Mus musculus: one gene and its partner. The protein of the gene in region 2 binds, or shares a complex with, the protein of the main gene of each other region. Links are inferred from orthologs where the notes say so. Each region holds a gene or a part of one and is shown on either strand. Other genes may lie near its edges.

Evidence for each region.
Region 1: Med13l (region 2) and Med21 share a complex: the UniProt entries of both Homo sapiens proteins name them as parts of the mediator complex. The link is inferred for Mus musculus from reciprocal best matches to the Homo sapiens genes MED13L and MED21.

Annotation. Positions count from the first base shown.
Region 1 is NC_000072.6:146,640,917-146,645,709, forward strand, and holds the start of Med21 (mediator of RNA polymerase II transcription subunit 21), read left to right. Parts: upstream 1-1,662; 5' UTR 1,663-1,694; coding exon 1,695-1,736; intron 1,737-4,793. UniProt on the Homo sapiens protein: Component of the Mediator complex, a coactivator involved in the regulated transcription of nearly all RNA polymerase II-dependent genes.
Region 2 is NC_000071.6:118,558,939-118,564,060, forward strand, and holds the start of Med13l (mediator of RNA polymerase II transcription subunit 13-like), read left to right. Parts: upstream 1-1,780; 5' UTR 1,781-1,847; coding exon 1,848-1,919; intron 1,920-1,923; exon of another isoform or gene 1,924-2,873; intron 2,874-5,122. UniProt on the Homo sapiens protein: Component of the Mediator complex, a coactivator involved in the regulated transcription of nearly all RNA polymerase II-dependent genes.

The DNA of each region.
Region 1 (4,793 bases), on a different chromosome or scaffold from region 2:
CCATTCCATCTACTAGAATTTTAAATCCCAAAGTCATGTGTTACTAGGATTTGAGACCTTTGGAAAGTGACTGGGATCTTCAGGTCCCCTTAAGGGCCCATTCATGTTGATGGGCTATAATGTGATTGACGTGTGCTCTCTTGCCCTGCCTTGTAACAGGCCCGGATTTTAGCACAACTTACTCTACGATGAAGTATCATAAAACTGAGGATGTAGGCAGCACCACCTGCCAAAACGAAAATAAAAGTCCATATCAAAGTCCATAGTTCTGGGAAAGTCTGTAAATGTACTAACCTTGCTTTTTGGTTTCTGTAGTTACACTTCTACCCAACTATTTTTGTTAACTGAGTCATGTCAACTCAAGATACGAATTTTGTGCTAGAAAGTTCACCCTGAGGAAGGCTGGGATCCTGAATACCCAGTATAGTCGATGGCTGGCTAATCATGACTATCTGTTGGCTTAAACCACATCTGAGGAGTCTTCTCTGGTGGATACCTCCCAACCTCCTCATCTGTTATGTCCTCCTCTGTTAGGATTCACCAAGAAGGCTCTCTCACGATGACAGTCCACCTTGATAGTGGACTTCCCAGCCTCCAGAACACTGTAGGGAGTAAACGTTCTTTGTAATTGCTTGTCTGTGCTATTCAGTTGTAGCAACAAAAAACAGGCTCACATACCCACCCACCTCCAACTCCAGAAATGATCATCTTGGAAACTATGATAAACAGTTTGTCTGAGTTCCACAAACCAGGTATTTGCAGATTCAGGACTCACTTCCCATCAGAATATCCCCAGGCTAACAGAAATGACCTTTCTGCTATCACCCTTCACACGGAAAACTGTCAGGAAGCCCCAGTTCTAAATTTACATTCTGAAGCTGATCTTTCTTAAGATCGAACCTGCCTAGACCGGGCGTGGTGGCGCACACCTTTAATCCCAGCACTTGGAAGGCAGAGGCAGGCAGATTTCTGCGTTCGAGGCCAGCCTGGTCTACAGAGTTTGCACCTCCTACCTTCAAATGCTCTTCTTCCTCCTTTTCACTTTACTTATCACCCGTTCCTCATCACAGAGCTGTTTAATGCTTTCCATTTCCCCCAGGCACTCCCACTCAGAATTAAAGCACTAATCTAGTCTCCAGTTGGGTAAGCACCTCCTGCCCCAAACTAATTAGCCACCCTTTTCTAGCCATTTTGATTTCCTGGAGAATGTTAATTTCTCGAATTTAAATGTTGTGAATGGCGGGCTGCGAGTATGCTTTGTGGTATACCTGCAAAGTAAAAGCAAAGGAAAACAAGTGTTCCAGATAAACAAAACAAAGAAACGAACGAACAAAAACAAAACCCCTCACAAACAAAACACATTCCAGGCCAGCCAGGACTACACCGTGAGGCATAGCCTCGTCAGAGCTAACAGACAGAATGGAGGAAGCACCTTCCCTTCACAGGCTCGGTCCAGCGTAAACGCGAACCCGTAGCAGCTCAGCCTGCACGCGTCCCTCCTCCCCCACACCAGCCCTGGATCCCACCCGCCTGACGTCAGCAGGCCCGCAGGCTGGCCCCGCCCCTCCCCGGCAGCATGCTTCCTTAACCACGCCCCTCAAGGAGGAAGGCCTGTGATTGGTCCGGAGGCGTCATAAATTGGCCAATCGCTCGCGCTCTAGCAGCTTTTGCGCACCCTTGCGTGCGTGGTGAACATGGCGGATAGACTCACTCAGCTGCAGGACGCTGTGAACTCGGTGAGGGCTTTCCTCTGCTCGCCAGCCTTGCTTTCCTGACGCGGAGAGAGGAGGAAGGGGCGAGGCAAGGCCCCGGGGAGCGCGCAGATTGAGGTCGCCGCGGGCGGCGCACCCCGTGAGGCCTGGGTCTCACGTAGTCCACAGGGCGGGGTCTGAGGAGACGGGCCTGTCCTGAGGGGAGACCGGGCCGGGCGGCTTGTCCTGAGGGGAGGCGGGACCCGGGGGCCTGTCCTGAGGGGAGGTCGGAGCCGCCAGTCTCTCCTAAGGGAGGTGGGACCCGGGGGTCTCTCCTGAGAGGATGTGGGACCTGCCAGTCTCTCCTGAGAGCCATGGGACCCGGGGCCTCTGGTGAGGTGCGAACTTGAGGAAGGGAACGAGTGGCCGCTAATAAGGAGGGGACCCGACGACGGCCTCTCCTGAGGAGACTCAAGGTCTGCGGCCAGGTAGCCAGGAAGCGAGTACTCAAGTTCCAGGGATGCTTCTAGAACTTCCTTTGTGGGGCAGCACACGCCTAAGCACTTTTGTGTGTATCCCTCCCTCGCGTTTCAATTTCAACCTGCCAAACGGATTTCTCCTGTGATTCCACCTCTGAGGCTGAGACAGGAGGATTGCAGCGAGCTCCGGGCCAGCCTGAGCTCCAGTTTGATAGCCCATCTCAGAAAACAAAACACAAAAGACCACAACAAAGTGTTGAGTGTTTGTAGGTTGGTGTATGAGTGACCAGGGCGTGAGCTTGCCTTGCTTTCTGTAGGCCTTCACTCCTCCCTCCGCTCTTGGCGACTCCAGCACCAATGGTTGGAGAGTAACGTCTAGAAGAGGCCAGATCCTGGCCTCTCCGTTTCTTTGCATTTGTTTAAGTCTGCTTTACGATCTTCCCTAAGAGGCTCTTATAGGTGGAGTGAAGCTCTTACAGCACAGTACCACAGAACAGTGAATGTACACAAGAGGGATTTTTGTTTTGTTTTGAGATGGTCTCACTGTGTAGCTCTGGCTGACCTGCACACTGTGGAGACCAGATTGGCGTTAAAAACAAAAAAAAAAAACAGCCCAGTAATCAAAATCTACAACAAAAGCTCCTGAAAACTGCTAGCTTCTCTAACTTTGTCGCCTCTGGCTGTTATTCTGGCTTAATTGTACATGAATGGAAAACTAAATACTGAGCCTGGAATGGTGACCCACATCTTTAATTCCTGTAATCCCAGCACTTGGGAGGCAGAGGCAGGCGGATTTCTGAATTCAAGGCCACCTGGTCTACAGAGTGAGTTCCAGGAGAGCCAGGGCTACACAGAGAAACCCTGTCTCGAAAAAAAAAAACCAAACCAAAACAACAACAACAAAAATAGTGCAACAGTTTTCCATTGGTAATTAAAATCTCTTAGTGTCATTCTGGTTGTAGTTTGATGTAGAAGAGCCTACACAGTATATGCCTGCTGAAAAAAAAAATCTAAATACCTAGTTCTCTGGACAGTGTTTTTTAAACAGGAATGTTATAACAAGGCTTCTTGGTAATTCATCATTTTTGAGAGTACATTGAAATTGTGTATCTACTAGTGGGAAGACTAGTCTATTCTGTGTAAATAAAGTAGTTTTAAAGTTGAGGGGCTATCTCTTAAATGTTGATGAAGTCACCAAGGTACATTCTGTTTTGCAAAGATTCCCTGGGCTGCCAGCCAACCTCTCCCAAGAAAATACTTTTGTAATTTTACAAGTCTTTCTTGTTTTAATTTAAATTTTTTTGGTTTTACAAATCTTAATAATGCTGTGTAGAAGCTCATCTCCTAAGTATGCATATTCATGTAGGTCCTATAGTTAGGATGTTAAGGATACGATATAGTCTTAGGAGTACTGATAATTGAGTTAATATGTATGCCTACTGTGTCTACAGGGAATGTGTTTACAAAGAACTATTCTAGGAGCTTAGAAAGATGTCATAAACTCAAGAGACTTTTAGATGATGCAAACAAACCCCATATGTGGCTAGGGAGTTACAGTGGATTGTTTTCAGCTCTTAAGAGCTAAAGTAGATTGGAACACAGAGCAATATTAACATTTGTTCTGCCATCTGGAAACTCCATGTTCATTTCTATAATATATACAGTACTTGTCATGGAGTTGGTTTTTCAATAAATATTTTTGAACAGATTAATAATGGGTCTTGAATGAATTTACAAGACAGAACACTAGCTGCTGTATTGAGTAAGCTTCATTTATATTTTTCTTTCTTATGACAGTGCTGCTAAATAGAACACTGCAACTTAGAAAGCCAACCAGGTTAGCTTTTCAATGACAATTCAGAATTTTACATTGAAATAATGACAGCAAAACAATAGAAATGTTTATTGATTGGAAATACTAAATGAGGCTTCAGGGGTTAGGACTAGTGAGAACATATGTTTAGTTTGTGAATGGTGTGAACTTATATTCTCAAATTACTTAAATGCAATGCTTTTTAGTTTTGCTTCTTTTGAGGCAGAATCTTATGTAACTCTGGCTGGCCTAGAACTGTCCACATACTCCAGGATGGCCTCAAACTGACAGATCTGAGTGCCTCTGTCTCTGCCTCTCTTATGCTGAGATCCATCATGCCCCAAAAACAAACAAATTTAAGCAACAAGGTTACAACTTGAATCTTGAAGAATACATTTCTGATAATTTACAGTTTAAAAAAATTTTTGTTTTTCATGTAGTACAAACTGGCCTCAAACTCCCTTACATAGTTGAGGATGGCGACCTTGAACTGCTCTTCCTTGCCTCCATCTGATCATTGGGTTACATGTATATGCTGTTACTCCTAAATTTTTGTTCAGTACTGGGGATCTAATTCAAGAATCATGCCGGGCAGTGGTGGCGCACGCCTTTAATCCCAGCACTTGGGAGGCAGAGGCAGGTGGATTTCTGAGTTCAAGGCCAGCCAGGTCTACAGAGTGAGTTCCAGGACAGCCAGGGCTACACAGAAAAACCCTGTCTCGAAAAACAAAACAAAACAAAACAAACTATACTTAACAAGAATCATGTATGCTAGGCTAGCATCTATCAACTGAGCTGTATCCTTAACCC
Region 2 (5,122 bases):
AGTAATACCACATGTGTGCATAAAGTGTCGGGCAACTCCCCCTTGTAACCCTTCCCCCAATAGCATCTTAACGGAAATGTGTGACCTTGGCTTGAGGTCAGCAGGTCAGCAATTAGGATTTGCTTTGGACAGATTAGAAAATGAGGCATAGTTAAACTTTGCTGGGCAGGGTCACAGCTAGGTGTAGCAGAGCCAGCTCCTGGCATCCTCTCCAGAGCCTCCTGAATTCAGATAGTTCAGGAGTTGAGCCACTCAGTAACTGGGACCTTGGGGATGCTATTGCACCCCGATTCTGAGGACTCTGTGAAATGACCTATGTGTTCGGGCCACCTTCATTCCAGGGTTTAAGGTTTGTGGTAGTCTCAAAACTCCATTCATATGTCAGATTTGTGCCCGCTTTATTTTGCTTCCACCGCTCTTTCCAGCGTTTTACTCTTCCTTTGTTTCTTGGAGACAGTGTGTAGACCAGGCTGGCCTGGAACTCATAGAGATACGCCTGCCTAATTCTACCTCTTTCCAAGTCAACTTTCTCCCTTTCTCTATTTCCACGACGAAAAGTCCTGGAAGGCAGTCTCCGGCATCAGCACTTCTCCCAGTCCCATTACTCTCTGAAGAAGGGATGCTGGTTATTATTGACCGCTTGGAGCTGGAGGAAGGGCCTGCTCCCCTCCACATAGCCCAGTGTGAATGTGGCACCTAAGAGCGCTGGGATCATCTATGTAAGGAATGCCTGCGTGCACGCACAGAGTGGGCGCCAAGGGCTCCAGCAGCCGGGATGCTTTAGGAGCTCAGCGCTCGGGAGGCAGTGAGTCCCGAGCCCTGGCTTCCCGATGCCTGGGTTCGAATCCCGCGACCCCGGGCAAGCACCTCGCTCGCTGCCTTTGTGTCTCTTTGAGTCCTACTCCTCCGCCCGGTGCGCTGCGGCAGGCAGGCCGGCGGGCGGTCGCGCGCGAGGTTTCGAGGAGGAGACACTCCTCGGCTCGCTCGGCCAGGCCGGGCCGGCCCACGCCGCTCCTCGGGGACCCGAGATGCTCCCCCAGGGGGGCTCGGAGGCCGCTCCGGGGAAGCCGCGGCCCTCTTCGGCCCGCGCCCGACGCGCGCCCGCGCCCAGGGCGGGGCGTCCACGCAGCCCCGGCGTCCCACGGCCGCCCGCACCTCTTTCTCTTCCCTCCCTGGCTCCGTCACCCCGCTCCGAGAGGGCCGCGCTCGCTCGGCTCAGCAGCGCCTCCCGCGAGCCACCACCGCCGCCGCCGCCGCCGCCGCCGCGGCCCCTCCCCCGCCCCCCGCGCGGCCGGCGCCCGTCACGTGACGCGCCGCAGCCAATGGCGGGCCGAGCCGCGGTCGGCGGCCGCCATTGCTGTCAGAGCGAGCGAGCCCGGGGAGGGAGGAGAAGCGCGGCCGACTGGGGAGGAGGGGGGGGGTGGGGAGGAAGAGGAAGGAGGGGACGGCGCTCGGCTGCCGGGGTCGCCCGCTGGCTTCGTCCGCACCCCCCCCTTCGCGGGCTCGCGCAGCGGCGGCGGCGGCGGCGGCGGCTCGGGGCGGCTGCGGGGCTCGCGTGCCTCCCGCGCCGGCGCGGCCGAGGGCGAGTCGCCCGCCGGCTTGGAGATAAACAAGGCGGCCGACGAGGCGGCGAGGCGGAGGCGGAGGCGGCGGCCCTGCGCGACAGAGGCGGGCGGCGTTGCCGGCCCGCGCCCCCCGCCGCCGCCGTCGTCGCCGTCGTCGCCACCGCCGCCCTCGGGCCTCCCGCGCGGGCCTCGCGCCCCTGGTGCCCGGGAGCCGCCGCCGCCGCCGCCCGGCCCGGCCCGCTCCGACATGCCCCGCTCTGGCGGCCGGGCTCGCGGAGGACCATGACCGCCGCGGCGAACTGGGTAGCGAACGGGGCGAGCCTGGAGGATTGTCACTCCAACCTCTTCTCGCTGGTGAGTGGCGGGGCGGGGGGGAGCCCGGGTTGGGGGGCGCGACCTCCCCGCCGCGCAACTTTCTCCTCCCGGAGCCCTGGCGGCGTCGGCGAGCGCGGCGCCCGGCGTGGACGTGCGTGGGGAAGTCGGGGCGCTGCGGACGCCGGGGCGCGCTCGGAGCGCCCACCTCCGTGGCAATCACACCCCCTCCCCTCCCCTTCCCCCCTTATTTTCTTTTTTTTTCTTTTTTCTCCTCCTTCCCCGAAATGTGGAAGGCTTTTCTGCCTTGTGCAGCCGCCGGCGCGGGTGAGCTGCAGGCTCGTCCTCTCTCTCTCTCTCTCTCCCGATCGGATCGGCTGCTCTCCCACTCGCCGGCGTCTGCCTTCTGATTTTTTCTTTCTCTCTTCCTCTGTTTCTCCGTTTTTTTCCCTTTTTTTTCCTTTTAATATTTCCACAATGACACCTGCGATTTCGCCCGAAAACAGTTGATGGAAGGCGATGGTGTCAGGGAAAAGGACTCTGGCAGCCGGAGCTCGCTCGCGCCGTTGTAAACACGGACAGCCGCCCGCCTCTCGGGGTTTACTACGCCGGAGAGCGGGAGAGCCATTGCTCGGAGCCCACGGAAGGTGGAGGAAGCTGCTGCTCCTCGCTCTCCTCCGCTGCCTTTAAAAACTGTTTTCTCTGCTTTAACAAGGAACACACACACACACACACACACACACACACGAGCAACAAGCTGGGCGGTTTGATAACATCGCTTTTATCTGCCTTCGCCTCTCCTCTCTCCCGCTCTCGCCTCTGATAATTGACAACTTTTGCTTTGGAAGTGCATCGCCTGCCTTAATCTCGAACCATTTAGGGTGTCAATTGTTCTTCTGGAAGCCTGGCACCGGGCGACGGCGGCTCGATTCGTCGAAATTAAAAATGTATAGAGCTCCAGCAACTCTTTCCTGGCGGTGGCAGTGACATTTGGTGGTAAATGCCATCTTTGCTTTTTATTGGGTCGTATTACCTAGCTCTGAAAACATTCGCGTTGTTAAACCCGGCGCTTACGCTGATAATGGGAGTGCATGGTCTTTAAATACGCGCTTTGTGCCTGAGTTACTGTGTGTGTGTAGCTATGTGCCCGGGAGAGTACGAATTTGTTTAAATATTGAGCAAAGATTTGTAAACAGATGTAAGGCAATTATGTTTCAAGCGTAGAATATAATTGGAAAATTGGTTGAACGGCCTATTTAATTTAGCCTTAAAAACTCAACTTATTTTAGTTGTGTGCCCAATTTTGGTGGGGAGGGTGCTGGGGGGGAGGGTGCTGACTTTTGGAGAGCATGCATTTATTGCAAATTATTTTCTGGAACCCCTGCTGCAGATAGAAGCTTTATTTCCTTTTAGTCCTTGTTTACACTGGATAAATAATTTAGTGTTCAAATTGTAATTAGTTACATTTAATTATGGGTGGCATAGATGCTTTTTCTCCCCTTGGAGACTAGTGGAGAAAGAGGAATTGTTGCCAACTTTGGAAGTGTCATTCTGTTTTCATGCTGATGAAGAAATCAAGCATGATTTTGGCCTACAAAGACACAGGAGTGACACAGTCCCCCTGCTCCCACTCTTGTAAGCAGGCTGATTCCTGATCACCCCGAATTTTATCCTGAGGCTGTTTCGAGGTTCAGTTAGAAGTTGGGGGTCCTTCCTTTTACCCCTGTGGTAATTTACCGTTGATCTTTTGATGTGAGGATAAAACTACTTCTGTCTCTTTTTTCACCCCCCCCTTCCCTTGTCTGTCATTTATTATTAGGTTCAGGGACCTTCATAGATCAGCAAATGTATTGACTAGGCGGTATTTACCCCCCCCCCCAACCAATTTGGTGACTGGGTGACCGCAATGACACTTTTATAGGTAATTAAAATAACCAAGTCAGCTGGTGTTAGCTGGGGAGAGCTCCCACTTGCTGTGCATCAGGCTGAGAGCAGTGCTGCCTGTGTGCATGTGGCTAATGTATACACAGTGTGTTGTGCAGGCAAATGCATGCCTGCTGACTGCACAGCTCCACTCTCAGCTTCAGGGATCTATGGGGTAGAGATGAGATGGTCCGGATTCTTTCTTTAATTTCTGGACTTTGATTTTGACTGCATTCTGGGTATTTCTCCGCTTAAACCAAAAAGTTGACTTGAATATAAAGTACAATTAACTTTTTTGGGTAACTCCATTGAAATGCAGAAATGGCTTAGATTAGTTTTAAAATGTAACGTATTTCCTGATACCTCGAGGTAGGTAAATGCTGTCTAGTTGTTTAAGAAATTTATCTTTATTTTATATGCATCGCTGTTTTGCCTGCTTGTGTGAGGGTGCTGGGTTCTTTGGGATTGGAATTAGAGACCATTGTGAGCTGCCACGAAGGTGCTGGGAATTGAACCCAGATTCTCTGGAGGATCAGTCAGTACTCTTAACCCCTGAGCCATCTCTCCAGCCCTAAACTTTCTTAGAAAACCAAGCCAAATAAAAGAGACCCACGGAAAACCAAAACCAAGAATAAACTGCCAACAGTCCTTTATTCGGATTCTTAATTGAGAATTTTTTTCTGAAGAGCATACACACAGCAGCAACCTATCTTACTTATTGAGAATACATTGCGTAAAGAACATTGTATAGAATAGTTGATTTCAAAGGAGAGGCATCCTTTCAAAATCTTTTTTTTTTTTTTTTTTGTCAGAACTCTAGGTACCTAGCATTTTGTATTTTTGAAAAGTTTGGCCTGCAGTTTTGTTTCTGAGTGCAGAATAGTCACTTCTGGAACACTACCCACCCACATGCTCCTGTTAGCTTGGATGGAGGTGTAAGCTGGAGCCGAGCCCCGAGGGAACGCGACCCACTACTTCCTGAGATCCTGAGGCCATCGCCAGGGCTTAGCAAGGCTGACTGAGCAATCAGGCCTCTTACGATTCTTGTTCCTAGGCTTTGACTGAGTTTGTTTTCTGATACTGCCTGGAGTCCTGTTTCCTACTCTTGCTTTTCTGTCTCCACCCCCACCCTAACCTGTGAAAGGCCATTGGATGGCTGTGATATGGGCCCTTGTGCTGTTTCTCTCTTCCTCCTGTGAGATTTGTAGCCACTGCAGGAAATCCATGCCTGGCTGGGCCTCTGTGACACAAAACTTTTCTCATGGTGGCCATCAAATTAAGTGTGCTAAATCTTCATTTTTGGAAAATGTAACCGTGTACCT